4 linked regions of the Danio rerio genome follow. The protein of the gene in region 4 interacts with the protein of the main gene of each other region in a biochemical or structural test. Links are inferred from orthologs where the notes say so. Each region holds a gene or a part of one and is shown on either strand. Other genes may lie near its edges. The genes, in order: chaf1a, smarca4a, lbr and cbx5.

Region 1 (4,127 bases), on a different chromosome or scaffold from region 4:
GTCATGGAAATGCAGGAGCTTCATGCGGCCGTAACGACTGCGGTCTGGTCCATCATCTGCCTTCTGGCTCTCAGTTATGACCACACAGTCTCTAATAACACAGAACATACACCAAATAAAATGTCTTTTGACATCCCTCTAACAAATGCAGCTGACAGTGTTCTGCACGAGTATATATTGAATACAAACAAATCCAAGCAACAGGCTCAGTGTGGCTTTACCCTTGTGCACTATGCCTGGGTCTGGTGGGACCTGAACTGCGAGGTTTGTGCCCTGTCCAGTCCTTCAGTCCATTCAGAGTACTGTCGGGTTGGGCAAGATAGCGGTCCAGGTCCTCTAGCACAGAGTCTTCACATTGTACTCGAGTTAGCGGTGCCAGAGACATGTGTGCTTTGATCTCAAACGGAGCAAACTTCCCGCAGGCAGAAGCCAGAGTCTGAAACACAAGAACATACAAAAATGCCTACATTAACACATTACTTGACAAAATGGCCAAAAAGAACAAATACTATGAATGTTAATGATTGATTATTTCAAACATTTTTAACAGAACAAAAAAAACTGGTTTAAAACAAGTCAAAGTTGAGTGAAGGACAATTTTTAGATTTGAGTGAACTACCTTTTAAAGACGCATCTTAATCAATTTGATCACTGATTACAGGGTTTAATTGAAGCTTTTTATTATTCATGTTTTTATAAATGTATATTACAAATATCATATGACAACTGCATTTATTGATGAGCAACATTCCAACCTAAAACATAGCAGCCTGTACTTGGTTAGCTAATAAGAACAGTGTAGGGCAGATATAGACTCAAACTAGGGCCTAAAGGGCCAAAGTTGGCCCATGATAATCTTTAATTTTGCCATCCACTAAGAAAAGAGGCAGAATGTTGGGGGTAATGCTTTTAAAACACATTGTCATTTCTAATTTTAACACCAAAAGACGTGACACCTCAATTTATTGTAATTTGAGCGTTGCGTTACAATTTGAATATGTTTGGGTTTTTATGCTGCTATAAGGAACATCTGCCATTTACACAATATAAATTGTAAAGACGCGATACTGCATCATTAAAATGCTATACGAGTGTAGTCTACACCATAGCCCTCTATGGCTCTGGCCCACGTGCACTAGGGCTGGGCGATATGGACAAAATATCATATCTCTGTATTTTTAGGACGAACGATGGCATACGATATATATCCGGTATTTTCCCATAAATGGTCACTTTAGAGTCAAAGCCTTTATTAAAACTTTATTAAACATTTTTGAGCAAAATATATTTGTTTACAAATAAACAGCTGCACAAAAAAATAACAGCTGCACAAAATCTTCGATAAAAACATAGTACGGGTTTTTCTCCTGCTTAAAACTACAAGTTGCACAACATTTCAAATTATAAAAAAATGATTGATAAATAAATCAAGTACAGTTTTTTTTGCCTGCTTAACACTATACACAGCTCTACTGTGCTGTTGTGCAAACAACAAAGTAAACAGAACCATAGAAAACAGCTACATTGTCAGAGCAAAAAATTTACACTTAAATAGTAACACTACAAAACGTATTGTAGGATAGAAAAGAACCACATAGAATGTAAATATGAAACACAGTATTTTATGTCACAATTACAGTGTTTTTATAAGTAATCCTGTATAGCAGTTTTGTGATTTACAAACAACAATTCAGCTGTATGTTTTTGCACAATTATTAAAAAGTGCACATATCGAAGACGTCTAAAAACAAGTCTTTCACTCCATGTAAAAAAACACAGTTTTTTTGTTTTTGACTAAACTATTTTTACTAAATATTAAAGGAGATGAAAACGAATAGACTGTAGATATGAAAAGTAACGAAATAGTTTCAGAGTACTGTGATTAAATGCTGGTTAAGCATATAAGAGCTAAATGTGTTTTAATGTAAATGTAAAGAAGAGAATGTAATAAATACTGAACTTATAATCAGTGAATATGAGGTGGTTTCACTTTCAAAATGCGGTATAAATTTGTCCCATTTAGGTATTTTTAATTCTTTTGAACACATTCAGGTGCTGCTTGTCAATTTGACAAGGTGTCTACGTTCGTTCTTGTATGAATATTCTACGTTCAAATATTGTATGACTCTTGGAGTGAATTATTCATTTGCGTATGCGCTTATTTGTGCAAGTGGAGCTTGCGTGCTACCTTGGAGTGGTTTATTTTGCACAGAATGCACACATGTGGCTTTAAACCATATCGACATGAAAGATACTAGATAATACCGTACGGCGTTGGGGAATCATATTGATACATCCCCAGAACCCGATATACCACCCGGCCCTAACATGCACTTAACCACAAATGCGGAAAGAGCAGAAGTTTGTGAGGGATTTGAACTTGCTGAAAAAAGCGGCGCTCATCATGTTTTCAACACAGTTTTGGATGAGATGGGTGAATAGCCCTAAAGGCATGGTGCAAGTAATAAATTATTATTTAAAAATACCCTATCTTCATGGTGACGCGGCGCCGCCTGTTGAGTACGCCTAATTATGGACGATATGAGGCTATGGCAGCTGTTGTGGAGCCCTTCAAATGGGACAGGTAAAGAAATCATATTTTCCACTAATATCCACATATTCAGTTGCATAAGTAGAGGGTTTGCATAACCCTCTGTTGCATAGGCACACACAATTCACACACTCTGTTCTTGCACCATGTAAAGAAAATGTGTCTCGAGTTTCTGATCATCTGATCGGCCTTTGTAGATATTGCAAATCAATCCCCCCACCAAGCGATTATCGGCCAATAGTGATCGGTGACTGACTACTCGATCTGAGCATGGTCCTTAACACTTCCGGAGGTTGTTAAAATTGTTTTTGATTAAATTTTATTTACAGTTTATGTGCTTATGGGGGTGTAAATGCTTATGTGATTCTTACCTTTGGTGCCAACTGGGTCTTGGGCTTTTGCAGAAACCGTGTAATCTCAGCCTTCTCAGCTTTAATTCGCTAAAACAGATGCAAAAATGCTATGAGGGCCTGCACAGCTTGCCAAAGTCACATCCAAGACTCTCAGCAATGAAACACTCACATCTTTCTCTTCCTTTAACCGTTTTTCCTCTTCCTTCTTCCTTTTCTCTTCTAGTTTGGCCCTAAATAAAGTTTAAAACAGAGTTAAATTCTCAAATTAGGGTAAACCCCATCGCAGTTTCCATTGTGGTGAAACACTGGGTCACTTACTCAATTTTCATCTGCCGTTGCTCTTCTTTAGCTTTTAATTTATCTGCTTTTTCTTTTTCGTCCCTCTCCTTTTTTTCCCGCCGCTCCTTTTCATCTTTCTCCTTTTTCTCTTTTTTCTCCCTCTCCTTCTCCTCCTTCATCTTGCGGGCCTCCTCTTTCTTCTTCTCCTTGGCAGCTTTGGCCTCCTGTTTCAGCCGTTCTTTCTCATCCCTCTGTCGCTGCTTCTCCTCCTGCTCTTGAACACTCTGAGGGACAAAAAGACAAAGGGCTATTCAGCTGAAGCACAAAATTCCACAGCGACAACAATCAATTCACCTTTAACTCTTTAACAATTGGATCAAATTTGAGGGACGGGGAAAAAATGCATTAACCTCTAAAGGCCAAACTTCAGCCATTCACAGCAACTTTACTGGTTTTGTGATTAAACTCAAAGCTTCACAGTCATTGTAGACAGACTGTGCAAACATTTCTCATTCATTCAATGTAGGTCAATCTTCTGGCATTACTGTTTTCAACAAATTATAACCACATCTAAAGAAATAGTTACATTTACTCAGCCTTCACAAACCAGTTTGAGTTTCTTTTTTCTGTTGAACAAAATAAATAACCTTAAAAAATTACTTCCACAGTATTTGCTGTTTCTGCTATGGAAGTCAATGTTCACAGGTGTTCAACAAAAAAAAACTAGATAGGCTCCAGCGCAGCCTACGCGTGGATGCATAGCTCTCTCCATGGCTGACGCGCACCTCTCAAAAAATGTAACTACATCATGTAGCAAAGACGCTTATCGCAAGCTTTGTGATTGGTCGGCTTGGTAGCGCTGACAAGTGTGGGCAGGACCGAGTGCCGCGCGAGCTATAGATGGAAACTGGTGTTTTGTGTTTACCTTATGATTAAAGTTGTTG
Region 2 (4,127 bases), on a different chromosome or scaffold from region 4:
AAAAGTCCTATTAGCATGCTTTGGAATATACCGTATATACAGTAATTTTCAAGGAACAAACCATATATGATTCATAAAGCAATGTCAAATATGCATTTTACAAATGGAAAGTGGCATATTTTATTGTGTTTTGATATTATTGGGCTAATTTTGACTGGCAATTAAGCTAGTTTTGTTGCAAAAACCTGGCAATCCTGAGACTGACCATTTTGAGTGCAACTTTTTAAAGCAGCAGATGACAAAACTGCAGTGTGCACTTCTAAAAAGCTGAAAATTAACATTACAAAGGTGCCTTATGATGAAAATCTGGGTATACCAAGGCATAGTAAAATAATAAACGATCAATATATGGATATGGGCATACTGTGTGCCTCAGACACCAGTTTCATCGTATTAATGTCAATTCCACAAGTGTAAAACCCAGGTAAACAATGGGCCAATCAGAAGACAAAACAAACTGTGACGAGACTCATGAGCTATGTCTTCTGTATTTGCATGCATCCTTACTTTAGGTCATTCATCCTGACCTGATGAGCAACTGACATAATCAAGAGAACACAACTCACCTGCAGCTCTGAGAGCAAACAAAAGCCCTGAAATTATTAATATGCACACCTCAGGCTGTGTTTGATAAGCCAAACGTTTTCTAGTGATACCAGTGATCATTTTCCTCCCTTAGTTATTTTAAGTGTGTATTTCACTTCCTATGCATGTTGGACTTTTATTGTAAAAACACAAGCGCCAAACAGCATAAGACATGTTTAAAACTCGCCTCAGGATGCAAAATCCAAGATTTACAGATTATACACTTATTCCTCTCCACTCTGAAGAGGCATATGGTATGCTTGGTTACATCTTTTGTTAATTTATCATGTTTATTGTGAAATGTGAAGCATATGTGTATTAACAAACACATGTAGACTCTTGAATCTTGTCAAATCACTCACCTCAACTGTCATCCGTTCATACAGAAGCTGATATTGAATCGTGGCTGTTTTCTCTTTGAATGTAGCTCAAAATACAATGCAATACATCTCTCTTTTCACTCTCTTTTGTCAAGTTTAATCATAATTTAGTTTTTACCCACAACAGATCTGGTGAGCATAATAGGTTAAGGTTACTCTGATTGGGTTATATTTGTCTGTGTTCAGCTTGCATCATGCTCTGTGTGTATGAGTGTCTGAAATCGCAGCAGGTCAAAGTTGAGTAGAGCAGATATTCTAGGGGTATTTAAGATAATAAATTAGCTTATAAAAGCGTTTCTGAAGATTTCTTTTGTTTACTTTCTGAAGCCATAAACCTACTAAGTAGATATCAGAGAACATTTTAACTTATTAAACCAATACAGTATATGGCCCCTTTAACACATTATCCTTATAGTTACTGTTATTGTTGTGAAAACCATTTTACCTTCTCTCCAGTCATGGCGAAGGGCGCGTTGAACCACTGCTCAAAGGTGCTGCAGCTCTTGAAGATGGTGGGCAGCAGGAAGTTGAGCAGCGCCCACAGCTCGGGCAGCTTGTTTTGCAGTGGAGTGCCAGTTAGCAGCACACGCCGGGGTGCCAGGTAGTGCGTATTTAATACCTGAGTCAGTTTACAGTGGTGATTTTTCATGCGGTGACCTTCATCCACGATCATGTACTTCCAACGGAGCTGGAAGAGAAGGCATCATCAGACACTGAATAAACACTGGTCTGAGAATGATTAATGATTAAAGGTCAGGTTAATACCTTGGCCAGCACTTGCTTATCTTTGATGATGTATTCATAAGTAGTGACCAGTACGTTGAATTTGCCACTGCGCAAAATGGGAAGGAACGCACGGCGAGCAGCAGGAGAGCCCTAAGATGAAAATAAGCAAAAAAAAAAAATGTGTTAAATATCCTACAGGGTTCTTCGGTTGTGGTTTATTTTGTATTACAGCATTTGATTTAAATCACCTTGTAAGAAACTTTCACCACAGATGGAGCCCACTTATCAAACTCGTACACCCAGTTCGACAGAGTCCTATAAGACAACAGAAAAATCACTAATCATTCATGCATCTTGGCAATGCCCATGGGTTGATTATTTTTGAAGAGAGGTGCATGATTATCTGCTAAAAATAAAGATATCCCAGGCCCAGTGTGACCCAATACAAGTTTATTTTATATTTGGTGAGCACTGCCTCTCAAGTACTAATATTACCCCAAATCATAGTGGGTAAAGAGCTGTATCATGTGGATAACTGGAACATTTTGTTATCGTTTTGCTGCATCTCAGCTCACAGTAAATAAATAAATATCACTATTGATGATGGAAAAGTGTATAATGAATATTTCTACACAGCATATTTTATTGTCCAGAAAAAAATGCTTGAGATTAAAATGCAAAGTGTACATAATATACCATAAAGAAAATATATATACAGGGTGTGCTAATATAGTATATGACATACCATAAGTTATAATAAATTTCCTATTTAAATAGAATACTTTATTAACTATAATAACAATTTTAAATGAATGACACTAAAATCATAACATCAAATCTACAATACATGCCAAAAAAATCCTTACTACACCCAAAACTGTTCAATTCTAGAAAGCCTAATTCCCATAAAAATGTATTTGGATTTATTTAACTGTTTTTTGCCATCGAGATCAGAGATTCCCAAATATTTTCTTATAAAGGGCCAAAAAACAAACAATTTAGATCTGAGGGCCGATAGTAAATTTATAAGACTAATTTCCCAATTTCTTTGAAATAATATTTATAAATAAATAGACTTTAACGTATTGGGCTAGCTAATACACCCTAATTTTTTTACATTTTATAATGAACGTATTACAATGAAAACAAACTAACATAAATTCTATTTATAACACAATTGAGTTCAATGCACATTTAAATAAATCTCATCCATTCCCAATATTTAATTCAAGCTTTCTTTTTTGTAGCTTAACAATAAAATAAACAAATAAAAGATTGTGTTAAATTAGAAATGACAATCTCTATTAAAGGCATACCCCTGCCCCTCCCCCATTTTTCCTCTCTTTTCAGATGGGATAGTGGGCCAAACCATGGGTTATCATAGGCCAACTTTGGACATCTCTGATCTAGACGCACTCACAAATCACCCCGATAATTTACAGAATATTCATATTTTTACATTTTTTCGTTCATCCATAAACCTAAATATTGTCAAATTCTTCCTCTGGTATCATGCAACTCCAGTGACTTACGAGAGGGGGACGATGATAAGGAAGGGTCCGTTGAGGCGTTTGAACTCCATGAGGTAGGTGATGAGTGCGATGGTCTGGATAGTTTTGCCCAAACCCATTTCATCAGCCAGAATGCCATTTAGGTTATTGTTATACAGAGACACCAGCCACTCCAGACCTTTAATCTGTGGACGGAACGAAAGCAATAAGCACAAGCCACCAGATTAACAAGAATCTCTCTGTGTATTTTTCGTTTTTATATCCATATCTTAGTATTTTCTGGGATCTTTTGTGGTAACTGAGATCGGTGATGATAATTAATAACTGAAAAAGTTACGTATCTTCAGAGAAAAGCATTACGTCGAAAAAAAGGTCACACTGAATGGTAGAGGGGGTTGCATACAATGCATATAAACGTGTTCACAGAATAGGATTTGCAAAGACACTGAGACCAAAAGATCTGTTCCAACTCTCTGTGATCAGCTGCACCTCAGGAATTAGTTTAAAACATTTTTAAAACAGAGCATGTTTGTAATAAAGTAAAAACTGTAGAGTAATATATCTTTTTCTACCTGATATTGTTTGAGCTGCCCGTTCACTAGCAGACTCGATTGCTTTTCCACCTTCTCTGTGACGGCGTGGGCCACAGCATAATATGACTGCAGGCCCCGAATGAATGCAGAGTTCCCGTATTCATCGTCTACATCTTGCTTGGCATGTCTGTAAGACACATCATGGATTTCATTCACTTATAACTACAATTATGACAACAGAATGATTAAATGAGCAAGAGCTCATGTAGCCAGGCTAAATCCAATGACTCACTCAATAATGTGACGAGCATCAACCTCAGAAACATCCTCGCTGTCTGGATCAGGAATCACCTTCTTCTCCTCTGTCGGGGCCTGAGAGGGCTGAGGCTCTT
Region 3 (4,784 bases), on a different chromosome or scaffold from region 4:
TTTTTACTCAACATTTTACAAATATTTAAAAAAAAAATTGTTCTAAAATAAATATGCTAAAATATTTAGCCTTATAACGTAAAACCAACATGTAAGAAAAAAAAAAAAACGCTTTCAAGATAAACCACGATTTGGAAAAGTCAAAAGTTACTGTTTTACCATTCTTATGGTATATGTAAGATTTTTTTATTTATTTTCTTTTTAGTTTTTTTTTGGACAACATTATCTCCAGCAGAAAAGACATCCAAAGACGAAGTTTTAAATTGTAAAGAAATTTGTGTTTTTGAAACTAATGTAGACAGCAGAAGTCAATGATTTATTTGAATTATTTAGTCTGACATGTTCCTCAATATAAAATATATTGTGTTCAAAGGGGAAAAAGTTTTTGTTTTTTACCCGGATATTTTAAAAAAAATGTCATTTAGAGTAGTAATCACAATACAGGGTTCAACACTAAGGATTTTTTCTACTGGTCCAATCGGGCCAATGGTTCAGATTTTTACTTGCCCTGCCCAAATTTTCACTGGCCCCATTAAAAAAAAATAAATAAAAAAGACAAGTTAATGCTTATTTTTTAGCCACATATTTTAAATAATGTGTCAAAAATAACTTCTGTGAATCTAGAATTTCAATATTTGAAAAATGTTAATAAATGTATGAGCACAATTCAGAGCTATGCAAACGAAAATTGCATTATGGGAAATGTGGAGGTATTTTATTGCAGTTTGAAATTATTTAACAAAAGGTGGCTGACTGGCAAATTGTGCAAAAAAATAAATTAATTAAATAAAAAATAAAAATAATCACCATTTTTTTCGTTGTGTTTTCATGTAAATGTCTGCTTCCAAGACGTTATAAAAGTTTTTAATTTAGCCTTTTAATTTGATATTGCTGCCATGTTGCCGTCTCTTCGCTGTACTGGTTGTTACCAGGATACGGAAAAAAATAGCGTGCTTCAAAACAGATAGGAGGATCCGAAAAGCAATCGACATCAGAGAAGATAGCATTTTAAGACCAAAAAGCTCAAGCTTAAAATGCACACAATTGACTAATAGTCGCAGGCAAGTTAAACTTTAGTGACAAGGCAGCACTTTCCCAATCGGGCCAGTAATAATCCTGTCTACTGTCCAAAGCATCTTTCACACTGGCCCCGGGCCATAGGGCAGTCCTTATTGTTGAGCCCTGCAATACCGTCAAACCATAATATTTTTATCCAAGGTTATCATACCATCTACGGCAGGGTGATTAATTGAAAAGTAATCAAAATCATTCAGAACCTTTAATCGATCAACATTTTCCAGGTCAATTTTTTTTTCAACTACTTCCCTTACCGCATGTGGAGTCACGTGACCCCGCTCTGTTTACACTTCTGTGTCAAGTGCAGTGAATGATCTGGAGCAGGCTTCACACAGGCACATACCACAGGCACAGAGAGGGCAAAAAATTAAATAAATAAAAGAACCATTCATTATTCGTAATTGAGTTAAAATGCTCAATTAATCAGAATTTTGATTTTAGGCCAAATCGCCCAGCCCTAATACCATCAGAATCATATACCGGCCCATGCCTAATCGGTTACCAATATATGAATTAGTTAACATTAGCAACAATAACTAAGATGAATAAATGCTTAGAAGCTTTACATGACTACATTAACGTAACTTATTTTAACAAATGAAACCTTACTGCAAAGATTTAACAAAAATAAAAACTACAACCATTCAGACTAGGGCTGTACGATTAATAATATTTTTTATCACAATAACGATATTTGTGACAATCAGTAAATAAATATTGTCATGTTTGTTTGTTTGTTTTCTATATTTGTGGCTGTGAAATTCAATAATACACAAGTGAATAAATGTTAATCAAAACAATAATTGCCATTATTAATCGTGATTAATGTTTTTTCTGTGCAGCCCTAATTCAGACTAGGCATGGGCCAGTATAAGTTTCGGACGGTATGATAACCCTGGATAAAAATATCACTGTTTCACGATATTGTGATTACTGGTCTAAAATGTGCTTTTTTTAAAATGTCAGGTTAAAAAAACTACTTTTTACCTTATTGAACACAATATATTTTATTTTAAGAAACATTTATAATATTCTAAAACAGTAAACATGTCACGGTAAATAATTCATAATTAAATCATTGACTTCTGATGTCTTCATTGATTTCAAAAACACAGATTTCTTTATCACAAACACACACACAAAAATACCTTACACATACCTTAGGAATGGTATAACAGAATTTTTGCGGTTTTAAAACCTTGTCTTTCCCAAACTGCGGTAAACCTCGAAACCGGTAATCGTCCCATGGCTAATTCAGACTGCAAAATTATGCAGAATATAATAATAGAAAATAAACCCACCAAAAATAATTTTAAAAATCTATTATTATTATTCCAGTATAATAAAAGCTTAAAATGTAACTGAAATAATTTTCTGAATATCCCTTATGACATATTTCAACAAAACATCTGTAATGTAAAATGAAAAATAAAAGGCTAAACAATCTCTAAATATAAAAAAACACCAGTCTACCATTAAAAGACAGCAATTCATCATAACACACATGTGAACATTCTAAAATTCAGATATTAAAAATTCACAGAGCAAAAACCAAACACCAATACATGAAACAGTTTCCTTACCACTAACTAGGGCTGGGCGATATGGCAAAAATGCAACCTCGATTAATTATTTTCCATATTGAACAATAACAATATATTTAGTTGTTAATGCTAACAGGTTCAAGAGTATCCCAACAATGACTGAAGCCGCAAAAATGAAAGCGTCAATTAAATAGCATAACCAATTTTTAGCAGAGGAAATTATATCAACACACTTCTAGATTTCCATTGCTGTACATTCCTGCTGTGTGATTGGCTCTTAGATCAATATAGAGTAAAAAAGCCCAAGGCTAATCATAGTTATCAACACATAAATTATCGCAATTTGATATAATATCGTTTATCGGCCCAGCCCTACCACCAACACATTAAATTTGTCAAAATGAAGCCAGAATCATAATTACAACTGCTCACACATCTAGAAGATACCCTTTTAGCAGACACACCATACAGGAAACACCCCGAACTTCATATTAAAGCCATATGGAGAGAAAGGCCATAAAAACATAAGCCTTCAACCCTAAAACCATCTAATCCAATGAAGCACATTCCAGACATTCCTGATCCAGAGCTCACTGACACACACCCAGCACTGAGTTGAAGTCCTGCAGAAATCCAGATATCCCATGTGCTTCAGGGAGTTTAGGTGAAACCACAGAGCAAAAGATTTAAACTGAGAATGTGAGTGGGCGGAGTCTGCCTGGTTTTGTTATGCAAATATGTGGGCACACGACGACACGCGCGCGCTTACTATCACTGCCAGCAGCTATTCAAAACTACTACTACAACTCAACTACTACTACTACTACTACTTAAATCTTTTAAAGCAATAGTATTTCAGACAACAATGGTCACGGTTTTCATTTTTAATCTTACTTCAAAAAACACTACAACAGAACACCACATCTTATATATTTGAAGATTGGATATAAATCCTACATATTTCATAAAAAGTCAATATGGAAATTTAAGCTGTTTGTGTTAAGCTTTTGTGTAGTTTAAATGTGATCTAGAGGCTCTAGTGTGGATTGCCATGCTGCTCCTTTAACACAGCAGAAGAATGACACCGGAATGGAGGGAAAACGTCATGTATTCAAAACCATTGTCAGTCTGCATGTGAGAGAGACTCGTAAACAGCAACATTAAACGAGAATCAATGAACTATGGGAACAAAAACAGTTATTACAATGAACGTATAGTGTATTTAACACATATTTACTGTCAAAGCAGAGTAAAATGATCTTTATGTGCGATTATTTTACACAAGAGTGGAGAGAGTCACGTGCACTTTCGTGCACAAACAACGTAATGAAACTGAAAGGTTCGATATAAATTATGAATTCAAAACTAGTTGATAAAACAGTATAAAGTTGTATTAGTGTGGTAAAACAGACGAGCTGTGATGGAGGAGCAGTAAATGCGCGCCGTGCCCAAGTTTCCTGTGCAACGACTCGGCTGGAAACCGGAGTTTCAATTCAAGTCAAATACCAAAACAACAAATAACAGCTTTGAGAATTACACATAATAGAAAACATAATGTTTTCTAAACTGTATCTTTCATATAGAGATATGCAGAAAGACAAGCAACATGTTATGTGTACTTCAGAAAGAGAGTTGGGTCGGACTGAGCGCTGAATGTATTTCTGTACCGTTAACTACGCAATCCCTATAAATACATTCCCAGACAAAAACTTTAAGCACGCAAAGTCAATTTATAAAACTTTCTTACCTTCAGTCGACCTTATTTTCCTAAAAATCACTAAAGCTTATCCGTGGAAGTTCATAAAATAAAGAATATTGTTTTAAAACGCTGGCCCCCGCTCTGAACTCGTTCCTCCCTCTGTGACTGCTCAACCTACCAGCGTTTTGAGGGCGGGAAGCGCTGTGATTGGGTGGGGCGACCTGTTTTTAAATTTCTGAATTTTCTGATTGGTCGAAGGAGGGCTTTGCGTGAGCGTTGATTGGAGGCGAGGCATTTGAGCTTGAAGAGAATCGAGGTTTACAAAATGGAGTCCTCTTCAGGCGAGACAGTTGATCGGTGAGATATGAGAAGAAGAGAGAGGGACAGGACAGACAGACGACGTCACACTTATAAATGCCATAAGTTTTTAAGTCAAATATAGTTGGTAATTAATGGGTAAAGGC
Region 4 (3,139 bases):
TGAGGTAGTCGAGTGCTTCAGGGAGGGGTTTTAGGACTCAGACGCCACCTCTCCAAAGCTACAACACAGACAGGATACAAAGCAAAGAGTGAGCTGGAAGTCTATTTAATGAGGTTAAAACAATCTGCAGACTGTCATGTGAAAAATATGCGTTGTAAAGCGCAAATAAAATAGAAAAGTATGGCATTCATATAAATGTTCTGGCACAAAACTGAATAAATACTACTGAAAGTGACGTCCTAATATGGCATAATTGAGAAAATATGCACAAATGAGAACCTAAATATAAGCAAACTGACTTTGCATGCGGATGCAAATGTTTTAAAATACAAATGTGTCCAACAGTATAGATTTTGATCTGCTGGATTTGGTCAAAAATCACTGTGCAACTCTTACAGCCACACACTTTTTTTTTTTCGTCCAGCTGAGACAAACAGACAAGAGTTGCTCTATTATGACATCTGCTGGTTCACATCAGCACTGTTGTTTTTTTTATAGCGCAAAATGTGCAGATTCAGCCAACTGCTATCTGATCAATCGTTATAAGCTGTTAAAAACTGGTTTTCCCCACAAACATTGCACAAAGTAAAACTTGCATAATCTCAGCACTACAATGAAATGTATTGTGCGTGACTTGAGTCCAAAACCCAGGGTTTGGAGTTTCCAAAAACTGAAGTGTTGGAAACTAGATTTACTACAGCTTGTTACAGTACATTAAAAACGACTGTGAACTTAAAATAGCAAATAGACATAATTGTTGCACATTTTAAAAACTTCTATCAGCTAGAAATGAGTCACATGTATAAATGATCATGGCAGGATTATAAAAGCATACAAAAAAATAATAGAAATGTACCTACAACATCATGTTTAACCCTGTATAAATGTTTAGAAACATCCCCCCGATACACACTATTCCATCTCCAGCTAAACCATTCTCACTCTTTTACAGCTGTCGATATCAGTAGCTTTTGTTCAGTGTCTTTGCGAAGAAGCGCACAAAACTCTAGTGTAGTCATGTGACCTTGATAAACACCATTTTATTGAATCAACTCTAGGTTAAAAAAGTAATATAAGAACCCGACAATGCTTGAACTACGTGTGAATGAGGTCAAACAGGGAATGTGTTCAGCAAATCAGCCACAAGAGGGAGTATAATCGCTTCCGTTTTATGGAGGGAAAATAAAATCATGGAAGAAAAGTGTGTAGAAATAGATAGAAATGTCCCTTTACACACTCACATGATGACGATTGTCTGTCCTCCTGCAAGCAACAGTGATAAGATCGAATAGCGGATAAAAAGGGCCAAGGTTGACATTTTAAAAGATATTTTTACACAGATGTTAAAATTTATCCAAATGTCCTGATTTTAGTCTGGGTAATAAGATATAGATCATTTAGGTAGATGTACTGATAAAAAACAAACAAGCCCAATAAAAATCGTATGATAATTTGGCCCACAAAGGACTTTTTTTAAAGTTAAAATTGCAATAAAGCAAACTTAAATCTACTTGATTGGGGGGAAAAAAATAAGCAAAATGCGAACGGCATCAATTAAGAAGCAGTTTTGTAAATAAAAAACGATGGCGTCGCTTTTTCATCCAGCATTGCAGATGTTAACGAACGCAAACTCGACTGATTTCATTCAGTCATGTTCCGCAATACTGTGAAATCTGAACGAATAAAAGTTAAAAGTTGGACATGTACGGGTTTTTTTTCATCGTTTCACATCTACACTAGCACACAACACATCATAAGAACATAGTTGTAGGGGCACGAATACACAAATCATGACAAAACAGAAGGAAGATCAGAGAGAGTAAGAGAAGTAAGAGTTTTCCACATTCCACCGCTCTGCCGCAGCCACCGTTCGCTCTGTCTGATGAGAGATGTGTTTTGGTGAAGGTGGACGGAGGTTGTTGTGGTGGGCAGTAAACCTCCGATACTCGCTGGCCTTTCGTTTTCTAAATGGTCCGTTAAAAGTTGGCTATGAGAGTGTCATCGGTGCAAGGTTTTGGAGGACTGTATGTCTTTCCCAAACCTCTGCCCTTTACACCGCTGTGGCACTCTTCTCCTTCTTGTCTCCGTCTTCATGCCAGGTCAGACGCTCCTCGTAGAAGGCAATGACAATCTGTGGGCACTTGTGATTGGCTTCTTTTGCAAGCACAAGGTCTGCCTCGTCAGAGTCCTTCCTGTAGCAGGACAGCAGAAACAACGAAAAGTTAATTTCGCAGCAAGTGCAGTGTTTCCTCTAGGATTTTTTTTCAGCTGTGGCAGCAGACCTTTTAGACAAATAGAAATACCTATGGCGTGGTTTCAATGACAAATGGACAATGTTGTGAGCGAAGTATTACAGGTCAAGATCGTATTTACGTGCTCTACTCTCCAATACGCGCTGATTTCCTCTGCTTGTGCACAAAACCTCTTGCACGCCCCCTTAAATATACGCGGCTCAAGCGCAAATCTTTTGCGCTCTCAAATAAACGCAGCTTAAGTGCGATTTACGCCGTTTATGCAACAAGTATGTGGGGCCCAATTTACAGATGTAAATTAGAAATTTCTGAATATGTGATAGTGAACACTGAAATATGCAGAAAATGGAAGTTTCATTGATTGTAAAAATGTAAGCTGACTTATTTTACTGTAACATTTGACGCATGGTTAGAGACTATTAGAATAATAAATGGTTTATAATGCCAAGCATGCTTTACAATGCAAAAGGTAACAGAGGCAAAAAACGGATCTATACAGAAAATCCAGCATAAATTGTTTGCTAAGCTAAATACAACCTTAAAGTTGGTTTACTAATCAAGAAATGCAATTACTTAAAAACAGATGTAAACTGTAAATAAGGTAAACAAATAAATGCAGAGTGTACACTCCATTGAACGCTTTCAAACATACAACTGTAAATAGTTGGAGAAAGGAGAGAAATGAACAGTTCCATCCTCATCCTCCATCCTATTCAGTCACACAAAGGGTGTGAATGTGCTTTTTAAAAAGGGACATTAGAATAATTTCCAGACATAATGGCAGGTGTAAATGTGGCGATTAACACTATGGTTTCAACCTCCACTTCAGGTGATTCAATCAAAATTGTCCAGCTAAACACAGCCTGCCTTATTTTTATCATTAGCAT

Evidence for each region.
Region 1: the proteins of cbx5 (region 4) and chaf1a form a complex in vitro, tested with the Homo sapiens proteins (2 studies listed by BioGRID). The link is inferred for Danio rerio from reciprocal best matches to the Homo sapiens genes CBX5 and CHAF1A.
Region 2: the proteins of cbx5 (region 4) and smarca4a form a complex in vitro, tested with the Homo sapiens proteins (2 studies listed by BioGRID). The link is inferred for Danio rerio from reciprocal best matches to the Homo sapiens genes CBX5 and SMARCA4.
Region 3: the proteins of cbx5 (region 4) and lbr form a complex in vitro, tested with the Homo sapiens proteins (2 studies listed by BioGRID, with this or other methods). The link is inferred for Danio rerio from reciprocal best matches to the Homo sapiens genes CBX5 and LBR.

Annotation. Positions count from the first base shown.
Region 1 is NC_133197.1:22,139,860-22,143,986, forward strand, and holds part of chaf1a (chromatin assembly factor 1 subunit A), read right to left. Parts: intron 3,468-4,127; coding exon 3,223-3,467; intron 3,135-3,222; coding exon 3,074-3,134; intron 2,992-3,073; coding exon 2,923-2,991; intron 437-2,922; coding exon 222-436; intron 92-221; coding exon 1-91. UniProt on the Homo sapiens protein: Acts as a component of the histone chaperone complex chromatin assembly factor 1 (CAF-1), which assembles histone octamers onto DNA during replication and repair.
Region 2 is NC_133178.1:18,046,726-18,050,852, reverse strand, and holds part of smarca4a (SWI/SNF related BAF chromatin remodeling complex subunit ATPase 4a), read right to left. Parts: coding exon 4,028-4,127; intron 3,923-4,027; coding exon 3,775-3,922; intron 3,388-3,774; coding exon 3,224-3,387; intron 2,007-3,223; coding exon 1,940-2,006; intron 1,842-1,939; coding exon 1,731-1,841; intron 1,654-1,730; coding exon 1,411-1,653; exon of another isoform or gene 1,284-1,410; intron 1,181-1,283; exon of another isoform or gene 1-1,180. UniProt on the Homo sapiens protein: ATPase involved in transcriptional activation and repression of select genes by chromatin remodeling (alteration of DNA-nucleosome topology).
Region 3 is NC_133195.1:39,684,023-39,688,806, forward strand, and holds the start of lbr (delta(14)-sterol reductase LBR), read right to left. Parts: upstream 3,284-4,784; 5' UTR 3,226-3,283; intron 1-3,225. UniProt on the Homo sapiens protein: Catalyzes the reduction of the C14-unsaturated bond of lanosterol, as part of the metabolic pathway leading to cholesterol biosynthesis.
Region 4 is NC_133198.1:39,403,100-39,406,238, forward strand, and holds the end of cbx5 (chromobox protein homolog 5), read right to left. Parts: intron 2,193-3,139; coding exon 2,051-2,192; 3' UTR 1,023-2,050; downstream 1-1,022. UniProt on the Homo sapiens protein: Component of heterochromatin that recognizes and binds histone H3 tails methylated at 'Lys-9' (H3K9me), leading to epigenetic repression. In contrast, it is excluded from chromatin when 'Tyr-41' of histone H3 is phosphorylated (H3Y41ph).